Arabidopsis thaliana: one gene and its partner. The protein of the gene in region 2 interacts with the protein of the main gene of each other region in a pairwise test. Each region holds a gene or a part of one and is shown on either strand. Other genes may lie near its edges. The genes, in order: GRF10 and HDA05.

Region 1 (5,087 bases), on a different chromosome or scaffold from region 2:
TTGGCAAAGATCGTCACCATGATCCTCTGTTTATTAGTCAAACCTAATATTTGAAGGTGTTGTCTCTTTGCTTTTGACAGTTGTAGCATTTGTTGTGCTAGCAACAACTCACCTAAAGAATTTAGAAGTTGGGCCAAGTGAATACTTGAATTGATCATTTGTAGCTCAAAATTGAAGTTTTCGATAGATGTATGAAATTATTATTCATTGGACATATAAAAATATTAAAGAAAACACTACAAAATCTCTCGAGGGAAGTGGTCAATTCGTGACAAAAATGTTATTTAGATGGTTGACAAAAAGATATCTGATTCTATAAGGATTAACTGGTTCACAGTTTGATTAACATGTTTTAGACTTTGAGGGCTCTCGATTGGATTAGACACAATGAGTGTTGGTACGAGTTAGAGAGTTTGTGATAGCATTTGGTTACAATTACAACTTACAAGAGTCCCATATTTAGAGCATAGAGATCCTTTTTGAGGGTCATGTTGGGAGAACCAAACCATTATTATGTCACACACTTACGGACCAAACCACCGTAGAGAAACACACTTGAGGATGATTCCTTGGCCACAAAGAGGGCAAACATCCACAAATTGAAAAGTTGTGAAGTTTGGGATCACTTATGCAAATTATTAAGAGCCTCTTGAATTCAGACTTTCATGATTTTTGCAAGGAGTTATTAGTTATTACAAACTTCGAATAAAGCTTTGTCTGTTTTGGTTTTTAATTTTGAGACCATGATACGCCTAATATTCTGATAAACAAAAACCCAAATCATGCCTGCTGGCTCAATTCAACAACAAAAGAAGCAAACTAAGCGTAAAACAGAATTCAACCACATCATAAGAGGGTTGAAGATACGCAACGCAGTGTTGTGTTGTGAAAAGTTCAAGAATCTGGAAAACACCATCAAGAAAGACATAGATTAAAAATTACACATTCGAGTAACAAACAACGACACTTACTGTCTTCACTTCAAGATTCAGGATGCAGCAAGAGTCGTTTCTCTTCTCACAGAGGATTTAGTTCTGCAATGATTCAGTAATTCCATGAGTGGTCTAATTGTCAATGCAAAATGGAAAAATCAGTAAGTAGCTTAACTTATAACAAAACTGGCTTTTCATACCTCATCTTGAGGCTCATCAGCACCTTTGGTTCTCTCATCTAAGAGGGGAAAAAAAAAAGGTGAGTGAAAAAGCTTTGGAAGAGAAACAAGAAACTAGTAATGTTTTCTGCTACAAACATATAACTTTTACAAGATTAGCTAGAATCCAATAACTATGAGATGGTAGATTGGTATGTTTTTTGTTGAGGCTTTCAAAACTAAAATGAAAGATCTACATAGCAATACATGCATAAAGGACGGTTTAATTCAAATATAGACAGATGGTTAATGGTTACGAGTTCCCAAACATCAACATTTTTACTCCAAGGTAACGCTCTTAACAGCTCATTTGATTCTAAGGAAACCATTTGATCATGAGATAGGGAAACAAAAGAAAATAAGAATACCTCCTTCCTCATTAAGGTCTGAAGTCCACAAGGTGAGATTGTCTCTAAGTAGCTGCATAATAAGAGTGCTGTCTTTGTATGATTCCTCGTTGAGGCTGTCAAGTTCAGCAATTGCATCATCGAATGCTTGCTTAGCCAATTGGCATGCGCTGTACAATACATAGTTTCATAGTGTCAGAAAATGACCACAGATTCCACTATTATGTTCAATCCAAAATACAAAAACAAACCTTTCGGGAGAGTTCAAGATCTCATAGTAGAAAACTGAAAAGTTCAACGCCAAGCCAAGTCTAACTGGATGTGTGGGTGCCAAACCATTCTCTGCAGCAGCAACAGCAGCCTACATTCCCAGTACGAAAAAAGCAAGACTTGTCTTAGGTTATTCCCAGCTCAAATATAAGAGGGGTGGCACAAAAATAAGAAAACAAATAAACATGATCAAAGGACCTTATATGCTTCAAGAGACTGATCTGCAGCTTCCTTGCGTTCAGCACCAGAACTGAACTCCGCAAGATAGCGATAGTAATCTCCTTTCCTACATAGAAAGAAAAAAAAACACGTAAAGTCAAAACAGTGAAACAAGGAAAAGTTCATGAATCATCATCATTTCAGGAAGAACACAAGCAAGAGTGGTAGCTATGTAATAACTTAAACATTTAACTTTAGTCAAACGGAAATGATCTCATTCTTAGTCACACAAATATCACATGAATGGTCAGAGTATAATAAAGATGACACTCACATTTTGTAGAAAAAGACAGTTGACTCCACAGCGTTAGACGATGGAATGAGATGCTTATCAATGACAGACAAGATGTCATTACAAACTTTAGCAAGCTCATCTTCAACTCTCTTACGATAATTCTTAAGCCTCTTGACATTTTCATCATTTCCCTTGGACTCTTCCTTCTGCTCAATGGAAGATAGTATTCTCCATGATGCTCTCCTTGCACCAATCACATTCTTGTACCCTACAGATACAAGATTCCTCTCTTCCACAGTTAGCTCCACATCAAGCTGAGCAACTTTCTTCATCGCCTCCACCATTTCTGCATCATCACCAACAAAAAAAAAATATCCGATCTTTGAATTTGCTTCCAAAAACGTAGATCTATTTCATTTTCATGCTAAGAGATTCGACAACAGTAAGTATAAAATTATATCAAGATAAGATCAAGAGTGATCAGAGTATCTAAACAACATTAAACAAGAAATTACTTAAAGGTCGCATCTAAAAGTCCAGATCAAGTAACAGCCCAGAAACATACAAATCGGTAAAGGGCTACAAAGAAAATCTATGGAAATGTAAAAACAATTTCGATCGGAGCAATAAAAGATCGGATTTTTTCAGAAACATGAACAAATCATTTTCTGAATAGAGATCCAGAAATCGGAAAATACCATCGTATCTTTCGGTTTGCTCGGAGAGCTTAGCCAAGTAAACCTGCTTTTCCCTCTCATTCTCCATAGTTTTTTCTTCTTCTTCTTCTTCTTCTTCCTTCTCTGTCTCTCTGAAGTCTGAATCAAAAATGGATGCTTTGATTTGATTGATTTCGAGATTAGTAGTAACCCTAGGATCCTCTCATAGTGGTATTATATCAGCCGTTGGATCTACTTTTTTTAGTCAACAAAACTCAGAAACATAAGTTTTATAAATTATAAAGTAGCCACAAAGGTTTAGTTTTTACACAGAAAGAACCTAAAACTAATATATGTTTCTTATTAAACCCCGATCTAGTCAATAACGTAAAAGGTTAACGACGCTGACCGTGATAAACGGAGAAAGACATGTCCTCTTGTCCATTATTTTAAGGGTTTGTGTTCTTTTCTATATTATATAACACAATCCAAATCATAGATTTTTTTTATGCCAATCCAAATCCAAATCCAAATCAATCACAGATTGAAACTCAAAGAAATTTTCTTTTGAAGAAAAAATTTGGTTTCTGTCAAATGTTTTGTACATGGCCCTTTCAAATTCTATATCCTGTAGTTAGCTACAACACGCTTTTAGTTTGCATAAAATATAAAATCTGAACTAGAATGAGAAAACAATTTGTTCCAGGTAAAAGAAATGGTCACTGAACTCGGTTGATTTGTGAGCTGAAATACTGTTGAAGCTCATTAGTCGTTGTCGGTAGGCTTTTCGTCATTTCTGAATTCGATAGAGTCGCCAAATTCTCCATGTTACCATCTCTTTTCTTCATATCATCGTCGTTGTCCTCAACTCCATTCAGAAAATCTGCATTATCATCTTTCTGCATCAGACTGGTTTTCACTCGATCTGCTTCATTGCCATTCTCTACGGCTTTTGCTTCCTCAAACACCTCACTGCTGGTTCTTCCACTCTCAAGGTACTGCATTGTCTCAGAGTCCATGGAATCAGAGTTACCTAGTAAAGATTCGTTAGCTATCACTGGTTGTTGTCCTAGAGTCTTGTTGTCAGATTGCAAGTAATAATGTTGGTTCTTGCTTGGGGATTCAAGAAGTGATCGTAGATATGTGGAGACTTCCTTGCAGGTTTCAAACTGTTGCCCATCAGGGCTATATAATCAAAAACAAAAGAGAAAATTTTCAGAATCCTGAACTAAAAGTGATAACAACAGCTAGAATCCTAGAACGGCAGAGAGTACACAAACGAACTATAAGCAATTTCAGTAGCAGCCCTTAATTCATGTAAACATCTTTTATCATGTTCAAGAAGATGGAGAAACAAACAAGAGGGACAATCAAAAGTCTAGCAGCAGAAACTAAAACATCATATACCAAATCCTATAAAACTATATCTTCAATAGTAACAAAGTGTTAGTTTTGCTATAACCAATTCCACAGCCAATACTAGGTCTATTTTATAATCCAACTAGAAACAGAACCAGTGAAGAACATAAACATTATTATACCTTATGTATCTGCGACAAGCCAGCAACAAATTGCTACCTTTCCTTTTGATGTAGAGCATAAGTCTCCATCCTCTAGGCAAGTATCCTCCATAATCACAAGCATTCACAACTTTCTTCTTCTTCCCTATATTCACCCATTCACCATTCAATTGTTCCAAGAAACCTAAGATCTCTTCCTTTGTCTTCAACCCAACGGTGATCCTCCTCAGCTCCTCTTCGTATGGATCCTCTGAAACACTAGCCAATGCAGAGAGATCCACAATTGTACCTTCTCTGTTCTCCAAGTTCACTACTAACTCTTCCTTATCAAACGCAGAAATATTCACAATTGCACTGTCTCTCTTCTCTAGGTTCATTATCTCTTCCTTATTCTTTGGAGGACGACCTCTCTTTCTCTTCACTGAATTTGAATCCAGGGAGATTCCTGAACTACCAACTCTACTCACCATTCCCAAATTGCTACTAGTTTTATCTACAAACACATACGTAGATGCTTCACCAGTTAAATCCAAAACCTCATTCTCTTCGCTAGGGTTCCGAATCTTCCTCGGCCGTCCACGCTTCCTCTTTATTTTATTCCCGGAGGTTCCCTGAATCAGAACGTTCTGAATCGAATCAAGATTAGGTCTCTGATAAACATAGCTGTTATAATGGATCTGACCTTCGTTA
Region 2 (6,784 bases):
CAACAACCATATAATGAATAAGTAGAAAAGATCAGATATATGAAAAGAGAAAACTCGGAAACGGAGATGAAGAAACTTAACGTGATTCTGTACAAACACATGTGAGTTTGATCATTGAGATTAGTAAGGGGATTGGTGTAAGCAACTCCTCCTACACCCCAAAACATTGAAGTTTCACGGCCAAATAACAATCGATGTGGAAATGTTTTCCACATTATTTCCTTTGGTGGACTTTTGTCCATTGAACCGACACATGCTTTTATCATTCCCTCGGCCTGAAAATAAACACAAACAGCCATAGATGTGTCAATTAAGACACAAGCTCAGACTCCAAAAAGAAACGAAACAAGGCTACTTACTTGTCCCCCTTGAATATAGCAAATAAACCTCGGTTTCCACATGTTGGATCCGTAAGAGGCATACCAAACGTCAACCTTTGCGAGATCAATTCTCCAGGATGTAGAAGCGGTATCTACTTGCTCCTTTTCAACTAGTGTACCTTGCTGGCTTTTCCCGGCGACTTTACCGTCACAGTTTCCATATTTTTTGTCGGCCATGGCCATATGCGGGAGATGAGAGAGTCTATCGTTCGACGAGCAGGGAGAAAAAAGAGAAATGGTCCAATCTTTGCTTCTGAAGCTTCAAAGTATTTTTACGTTTCAATTTTTATTTATACATGTTTTCCAATCTCTTTTTTTTAAATAGGTTTGTTTGACCAGAACTCTTCACAGTGCTGTTAAATCTTTTTTTAAAATAACTCTTCAAACTTCAAAGTACCATTCCGAAGAATAAGAATGTTTCTCTCCGGTCAATATAAAGCAGTTTGGAGGGTTCTTTAATACATTTACCGAATACAGCTTCTTGGTAAAGCCTAAAACCCGAAGATAACTAAAATACATTGAGAGTTTGCTTAGGGAGCAAGCACAACACAGCTAACAGAGGACACAGTCCTCTCTTTCAAAAGACAAATTCAAAGGTCTCACAATATTCCTAAACTTGTGGTTTTTATCCTAATTGAATAACTCAGAAACCCGAAGCTCCAAATCGTGTTCAAACGGGCGGTTTCTGAGTAAATAATTATACACTAGAGAGGTTTAGACACAGCCTTGTCTATGTAAGCCTCAGCTTCTTCTTTAGATAATCTTCCTCCTTCCACAAGTCCCCTTATTAAAGTGTTGGCATAAGCTTTTGCAGGAGGTCTTATAGGGATCTCACCGGATTTGAATTTCTCAACAGCGGAAAGCGTGCAACTGCAAACACAAAGTTATTGAGAAACCTCAGGAAAAAAAAAATGAAAGCTGTTTAACTCGGTTTATGAGCAGCAAAAGAAAAAGAATGATGAAAACTTACGTCATTGTAAGTATAGGAATGTCGCGTTCTTTTCCCAAGCAGACAACATTTCCATACCAACTATTCTGTAAAAATGTCAATAAACGAGTATAAGTGTGATTATTACATGTTTTATAAGCGTATCAATCAACATTTGTTATCTGACTAACCAAAGGAGCTTCTAAAATGGATCCTTTGTTATCTACTAACTGCAAAGCAGCTAGATCAAAGACCGGAGAATCTGAATCCACATTCAAACCATTTTCTTGAGACAGAACGTCATTGAACTGCTCAAGCCTGTTCACAAAAATAACATCCATAGTGAATAAGTAGAGAAGATCACCAAATGAATAAAATAGGGAAAGTGAACGGAAACTGCGATGAAGAGTGGTACACTTAACGTGATACGGTACAAACACATGTGAGTTTGATCAATGAGATTAGCAAGGGGGTTGGTGAAAGCAACTCCTCCTACACCCCAACCAACTGAAGATTCACGGCCAAAGAACAATCTATGTGGAAATGTTTCCCACACTGTTTCCTTTGGTGGACTTTTATCCATTGAGCCAACACATACCTTTTTCAATCCATCGACCTAAAAATAAACACAAACAGCCATAGATGTGTCAAGTTAGACCAAAGCCCAGACTCGACCCCGAAAACAAAACAAAACAGGTTACTTACCTGTCCCCCTTGAATATAGCAAAGAAACCTTGGTTTCCACATGTTGGATCCAAAAGAGGCATACCAAACGTCAACCTTTGCGAGATCAGCTCTCCAAGATGTAGATGCAGGTTCTACTTGGTGGTTTTCAAGTAGTGTACCTTGAGGGTTTTCAATGCTGAGTTTCGACATTTGATCCAGGAGTCCTTGGGCGTTGTCTTCAGTTTCAGAGTCGGAGCTTGAGATAAGGATGATCTATAGTGAACAAATAAGAAAGAAATTATGTGATAAGAAATACCGAGTCTGTCGCCTAAAAAGAAGATCAAGCAAAGGAAAATTTGTATAGAGACAAAGAAGTTAAGAAGTGGTTGCTAAAAATAGTGAGGTTTTTCTAAATCCGATCTGGCAAGGAAACGCTCTCTGATGAACAATGAACAACTGAAATGGTAGACAAAAAGAAGGGTGCTCAACTGGAGTAGGAGTTTTCTGATTAATTAGCTTCCACGATAATTCATCTGCAAGTGAAGGCCAATATGTGCATAGCCTCTTGCGCACCTAAACCCACAAGAAACAGATGAGTTTTGGTCAACTAGTAACATGAGGACTACAGCCCATTTATGGAAGGTTGTTTCAGATTGTGAAATAAGAAAGTTAAAAGATAGGATGATATAGAGCCATACCGCTTGTATGACACGCCATGTCGACTCGAATGGGTATGCTTCCGGAGGTCCTTGAATTTGTTTGTCTTCAAGCAAAACTTGGACACATGCAAGTGAAGACTTTGCAATTGAGTCAAGATTGTACCCTCCCTCTAACGCCAGCACTATCTTTCCTTGTGCAAACTCCATCAGCTGAGAGAACATTGGAGAAACAGAATGATATTAAATGCAAGTTTCTATTATTTAGCTCAGGGACAAACAACCAGCTAAAGCAAGAAGTGCTATTTTCAATGATGGAGACCCCTGGAGCGCAAATACAAATGATGGACAAAAGAGGGAGTTCACTTCAACACCAACCTTCTTCAACATAACTGAATATCCATATGGGGTCACACAACAACCCCCTAGCGGATCATTAATAGCTGTTAAGAGGAGTTTGAAAAGGTTACACACCTCTGAACAAGACATAGCTTAAAAAAATGCTTAAACCATGTTTACCTGCATCAAATCCAGCTGAAAGAAAAATAACATCCGGGTTAAATTCCCTCGCCACAGGAATCAAGATATGGTCCCATGCAGCAAGATAATCTGCATCTCCACATCGTCCTTGATCCCATGGAACATTTATGTTAAACCCTTCACCTGGACCTTCCCCAACCATGTTATAATCGCCATCATCACCCGCTGGATAGAAACCCCCATACTCATGCCTAACCAAAAATGCATTTCCAGTTACTTTCCAAGCGTAAAAATCAAGCAAAGGGGTAATAGAGTAAAAAGTAGGCTCCTTAAATCATGACAAGCGACATCATAAGAAGAGTAAACAATGGTCACAATTACATACCTATGAACAGAGAAAAATAGTACACGAGGATCTTTCCAAAACATCTTCTGGGTACCATTTCCGTGATGGACATCCCAATCAACGATCAGAATTTTCTTGACCCCTAGATCCGGCTGCATTCAGGAAAAGCAAAGAAGTTGGGAACACGCACTCCAAAGGAATGTGACCAAAGAATTTGACAGTAATTAAAAGCAAACAGTACAAGTCCTTACTCTTTCGTTTAGTAAAAAACTAGCAGCAACGGCAACATTGTTGAATAAACAAAAACCCATGGCTTCATCTGCCTCAGCATGGTGCCCTGGGGGCCTGACAATAGCAAAACCACAATCTAACTCTCCTTCTGCAACTTTTTCTGCCAACTGTCAAGTTGAAAGAAAAATGTTGTTACCCCATATTCAATCAAATCATTCTAACAGTTTCTAATGTATCCTCCTATTGTAAAAAGAAACAAATCAACTAGTATTATTACCTTTACAACAGAACCAGCTGCAAGATATGCGGCTTCAGATGAACCTCCATTCAGATAAATCGAATTCAACTGTGAAGCAATCCTGTTTCTCCGATAATCTTTCTGTTTTGTGCTAATACTCTTAACTAAATTAACATGGTCCTTTGTGTGAACCAATTGGAGATGCTTATCTTCTGCTTTGCTACTACCAAGAACCACACATCTGCAAAAGAAAAGACCAAGATCGTCAATACATAGCAGGCCAATTCATCCGAATCGAAAAACAAATCGTGATGGATACACACCTCAAAGACTAGATTCCACCTTCCCTAACTAATGTGCTGCCACATTACTCTAATTAATAATGTTATGAGTGAAATTCAAACAAATATGAAAAATATAAAATTGATATCAGAGAGGGTTATAAAACAGACATGGAGGAAATAACTCGAACACAAGACCGAACATAACGAAAAGGTAGCAAATTTATGAAGGGTTACCGTTAAAATTGAGCAGCATACAAACCTTTTGATTCTATGAAATGCACAATTCAAATTGAGAAAAGTAAATTTCATACCGAACAAGGAAGAACAAATTGAGACCAGTTTCTCAGCTGACAGGATCAGAAAGTACCCAATTTGACTAAATTTGAGCATTTTCTAGGGCTTATATTATCAAACAAACAACAAAGCCGCACGAAGAAGAGAGAAAGTATGAACCTTTGAGAAACTCCGGCGAGCTGAAGCTTCTCCCAGATAACTCTGATGCGGTCGGGACACTCAGGGTGATCCTCGCCGTCAGGTGTGTCGTGTTTGCACATCGTCTCGTCGTAAATAAGACCCACCTTTCGCTGTCTGTTCCCCGCGACTTTACCGTCACAGTCTCCAATTTTTTTGCCGGAAGATTCTCCGGCCATAGCCATAACTGGGAGATGCGACGGCCTTATTGTTCGACGATCAGTGAGAAGGAAGTGAAAAAGGTCAAGTCTTTGCTCTCAGCTTCTAAAGCTTCCAAGTATTTTTTACTTTTCAATTCTTTCTTTTTTTCATTCTCTCCTTTTTTTTTTTTAGGTTTGAGAGTTTGACCAATTTGGAGATTCTTTGGAGGGAAATTGGGAAACCAAGTATCGCAACCAATCAAAGTCTGACACGACACAGTTGGTTTACAATCACAAAAAGGTTCTGTGGTTACAATGAAACACCATTGTACTTTCTAAGAAGGGTATATGTTGCTCTTCCCGAGCTTATCAACCATCTCGCGAAACTTGTGGTAGTCTTCTGCTACGGCCTCAAGCTCCCAACCTAAAGTACCCTGGCTCTCTCACTGGCGATAAACTTGATACACTCCATATCTTTTATGAACTTCTTGTGGGAACGCTCCATGTTTTTCTTGATGACCTGAAACGGTTCAAGCTCTTCCGAGTCCATGTCTTCATTGAACTCCGGAGACAGAGGTTCGAGCTCGTCTAAGTCCATGTCTTCATAGAACTCCTGAGAAAAGGCAAAAGATCCATTCCCAACTCGGCTTCTTGACCTATCCTCTTGGAGTTCCTTATCTATGCGTTCAGCTTTTGCTACGGCCTCATCTCGCTCCTGCTGCAACCTCTCTATTTTGGCATGAATTTTATCCTCCCGAGCGTGAACCAACATTAGCCGCGCTTCTAGCTCCTTCTCTTTCGCTTCTAGGTCCTTATTTTTGGCCATGATGGCAAGCTCCTTCTCCCTCCTTAACGTACTCAAGCAAAACTCTGTGTCTTCTTTGAACTCCTGGCTTCTTGCCCTATCCTCTTGGAGTTCCTTATCTATGCGTTCAGCTTTCGCTACCGCCTCATCTCGCTCCTGCTGCAAACTCTCTATTTTTGCATGAAGACCACAGATTACATCCTCCCGAGCGCGAATCAACATTAGTCCCGCTTCTAGCTCCTTCTCGTTCGCTTCTAGCTCCTTATTTTTGGCCTTTAACTCTTTTCTCCTTGCCTCCAGTTCTCCATCTCGGGCAGCCATTAGAGACTTTAACTCTTCCACTTCACGAAGGAGGGCGTCAGCGGAGTTTCTTTCTGCACTTGGGTTCTTTAAATTCTCATTAGACGCCATTGACGCGTCAAGTGAAGGCCAATATGTGCATAGTCTCTCGCGTACCTAAACCCACAAGAAACAGATGAGCTTTGTCAATTAGTAACATAGGCGATATACAATATTTATGACACAAGAACTGAGCTGAAAAGAGAAATCGTAGCCAATTCATACAAAATTTCAGACTGTTAGGGTTATATAGAGCCATACCGCTTGTATGACACGCCGTGTAGATTCTAATGGGTATGTTTCAGATGAACCATGAATTTGTTTGTCTTCAAGCAAAACTTGGACACATGCGAGTGAAGACTTTCCCAATGACTCAAGATTGTATCCTCCCTCTAATGCCAGCACTATCTTTCCATGTGCAAACTCCATCAGCTGAGAGAAACCAATTAAATGATGTCATATCCAAGTAAAATTATGTAGCTTTGTTATTTTCAATGGTAGAGAAGCCATGGTACGCATAATAGAAACAATGGAGAAAAGAGGCAGTTCACTTCAACACCAACCTTCTTCAACATAACTGAATATCCATATGGGGTAACACAACAACCCCCAAGCGGATCACCAATAGCTGTTAAGAAGAAGTTGAAAAGATTACACACAGCTTACCGTCACAAAGCCTTGAAACAAATGGTTAGACCATACAAACCTGCATCAAATCCAGCTGAAAGCAAAATAATATCTGGTTTGAATTCCTTGGTCACAGGGATCAAGATGTGGTTCCATACGGCAAGATAGTCTGCATCTCCACATCCTCCTTGCT

What was found.
Region 1: the proteins of HDA05 (region 2) and GRF10 interact in a protein complementation assay, tested with the Arabidopsis thaliana proteins (one study listed by BioGRID).

What each region holds. Positions count from the first base shown.
Region 1 is NC_003070.9:7,878,118-7,883,204, forward strand, and holds GRF10 (general regulatory factor 10), read right to left. Parts: upstream 3,279-5,087; 5' UTR 2,987-3,278; coding exon 2,920-2,986; intron 2,568-2,919; coding exon 2,261-2,567; intron 2,054-2,260; coding exon 1,966-2,053; intron 1,859-1,965; coding exon 1,749-1,858; intron 1,668-1,748; coding exon 1,519-1,667; coding exon of another isoform or gene 1,484-1,518; exon of another isoform or gene 1,171-1,483; coding exon 1,133-1,170; coding exon of another isoform or gene 1,127-1,132; exon of another isoform or gene 1,108-1,126; intron 1,035-1,107; coding exon 1,029-1,034; 3' UTR 642-1,028; downstream 1-641. Other genes in the region: MBD8 (methyl-CPG-binding domain 8), read right to left, coding at 3,597-4,062, 4,419-5,087. UniProt on the Arabidopsis thaliana protein: Is associated with a DNA binding complex that binds to the G box, a well-characterized cis-acting DNA regulatory element found in plant genes.
Region 2 is NC_003076.8:24,566,053-24,572,836, forward strand, and holds HDA05 (histone deacetylase 5), read right to left. Parts: upstream 4,940-6,784; 5' UTR 4,866-4,939; coding exon 4,663-4,865; intron 4,167-4,662; coding exon 3,965-4,166; intron 3,855-3,964; coding exon 3,708-3,854; intron 3,609-3,707; coding exon 3,496-3,608; intron 3,362-3,495; coding exon 3,150-3,361; intron 3,074-3,149; coding exon 2,997-3,073; intron 2,844-2,996; coding exon 2,673-2,843; intron 2,548-2,672; coding exon 2,464-2,547; intron 2,248-2,463; coding exon 2,014-2,247; intron 1,925-2,013; coding exon 1,731-1,924; intron 1,627-1,730; coding exon 1,500-1,626; intron 1,416-1,499; coding exon 1,351-1,415; intron 1,251-1,350; coding exon 1,085-1,250; 3' UTR 731-1,084; downstream 1-730. Other genes in the region: AT5G61050 (histone deacetylase-related / HD-like protein), read right to left, coding at 82-275, 360-563; HDA18 (histone deacetylase of the RPD3/HDA1 superfamily 18), read right to left, coding at 5,245-6,081, 6,226-6,396, 6,528-6,592, 6,671-6,784. UniProt on the Arabidopsis thaliana protein: Responsible for the deacetylation of lysine residues on the N-terminal part of the core histones (H2A, H2B, H3 and H4).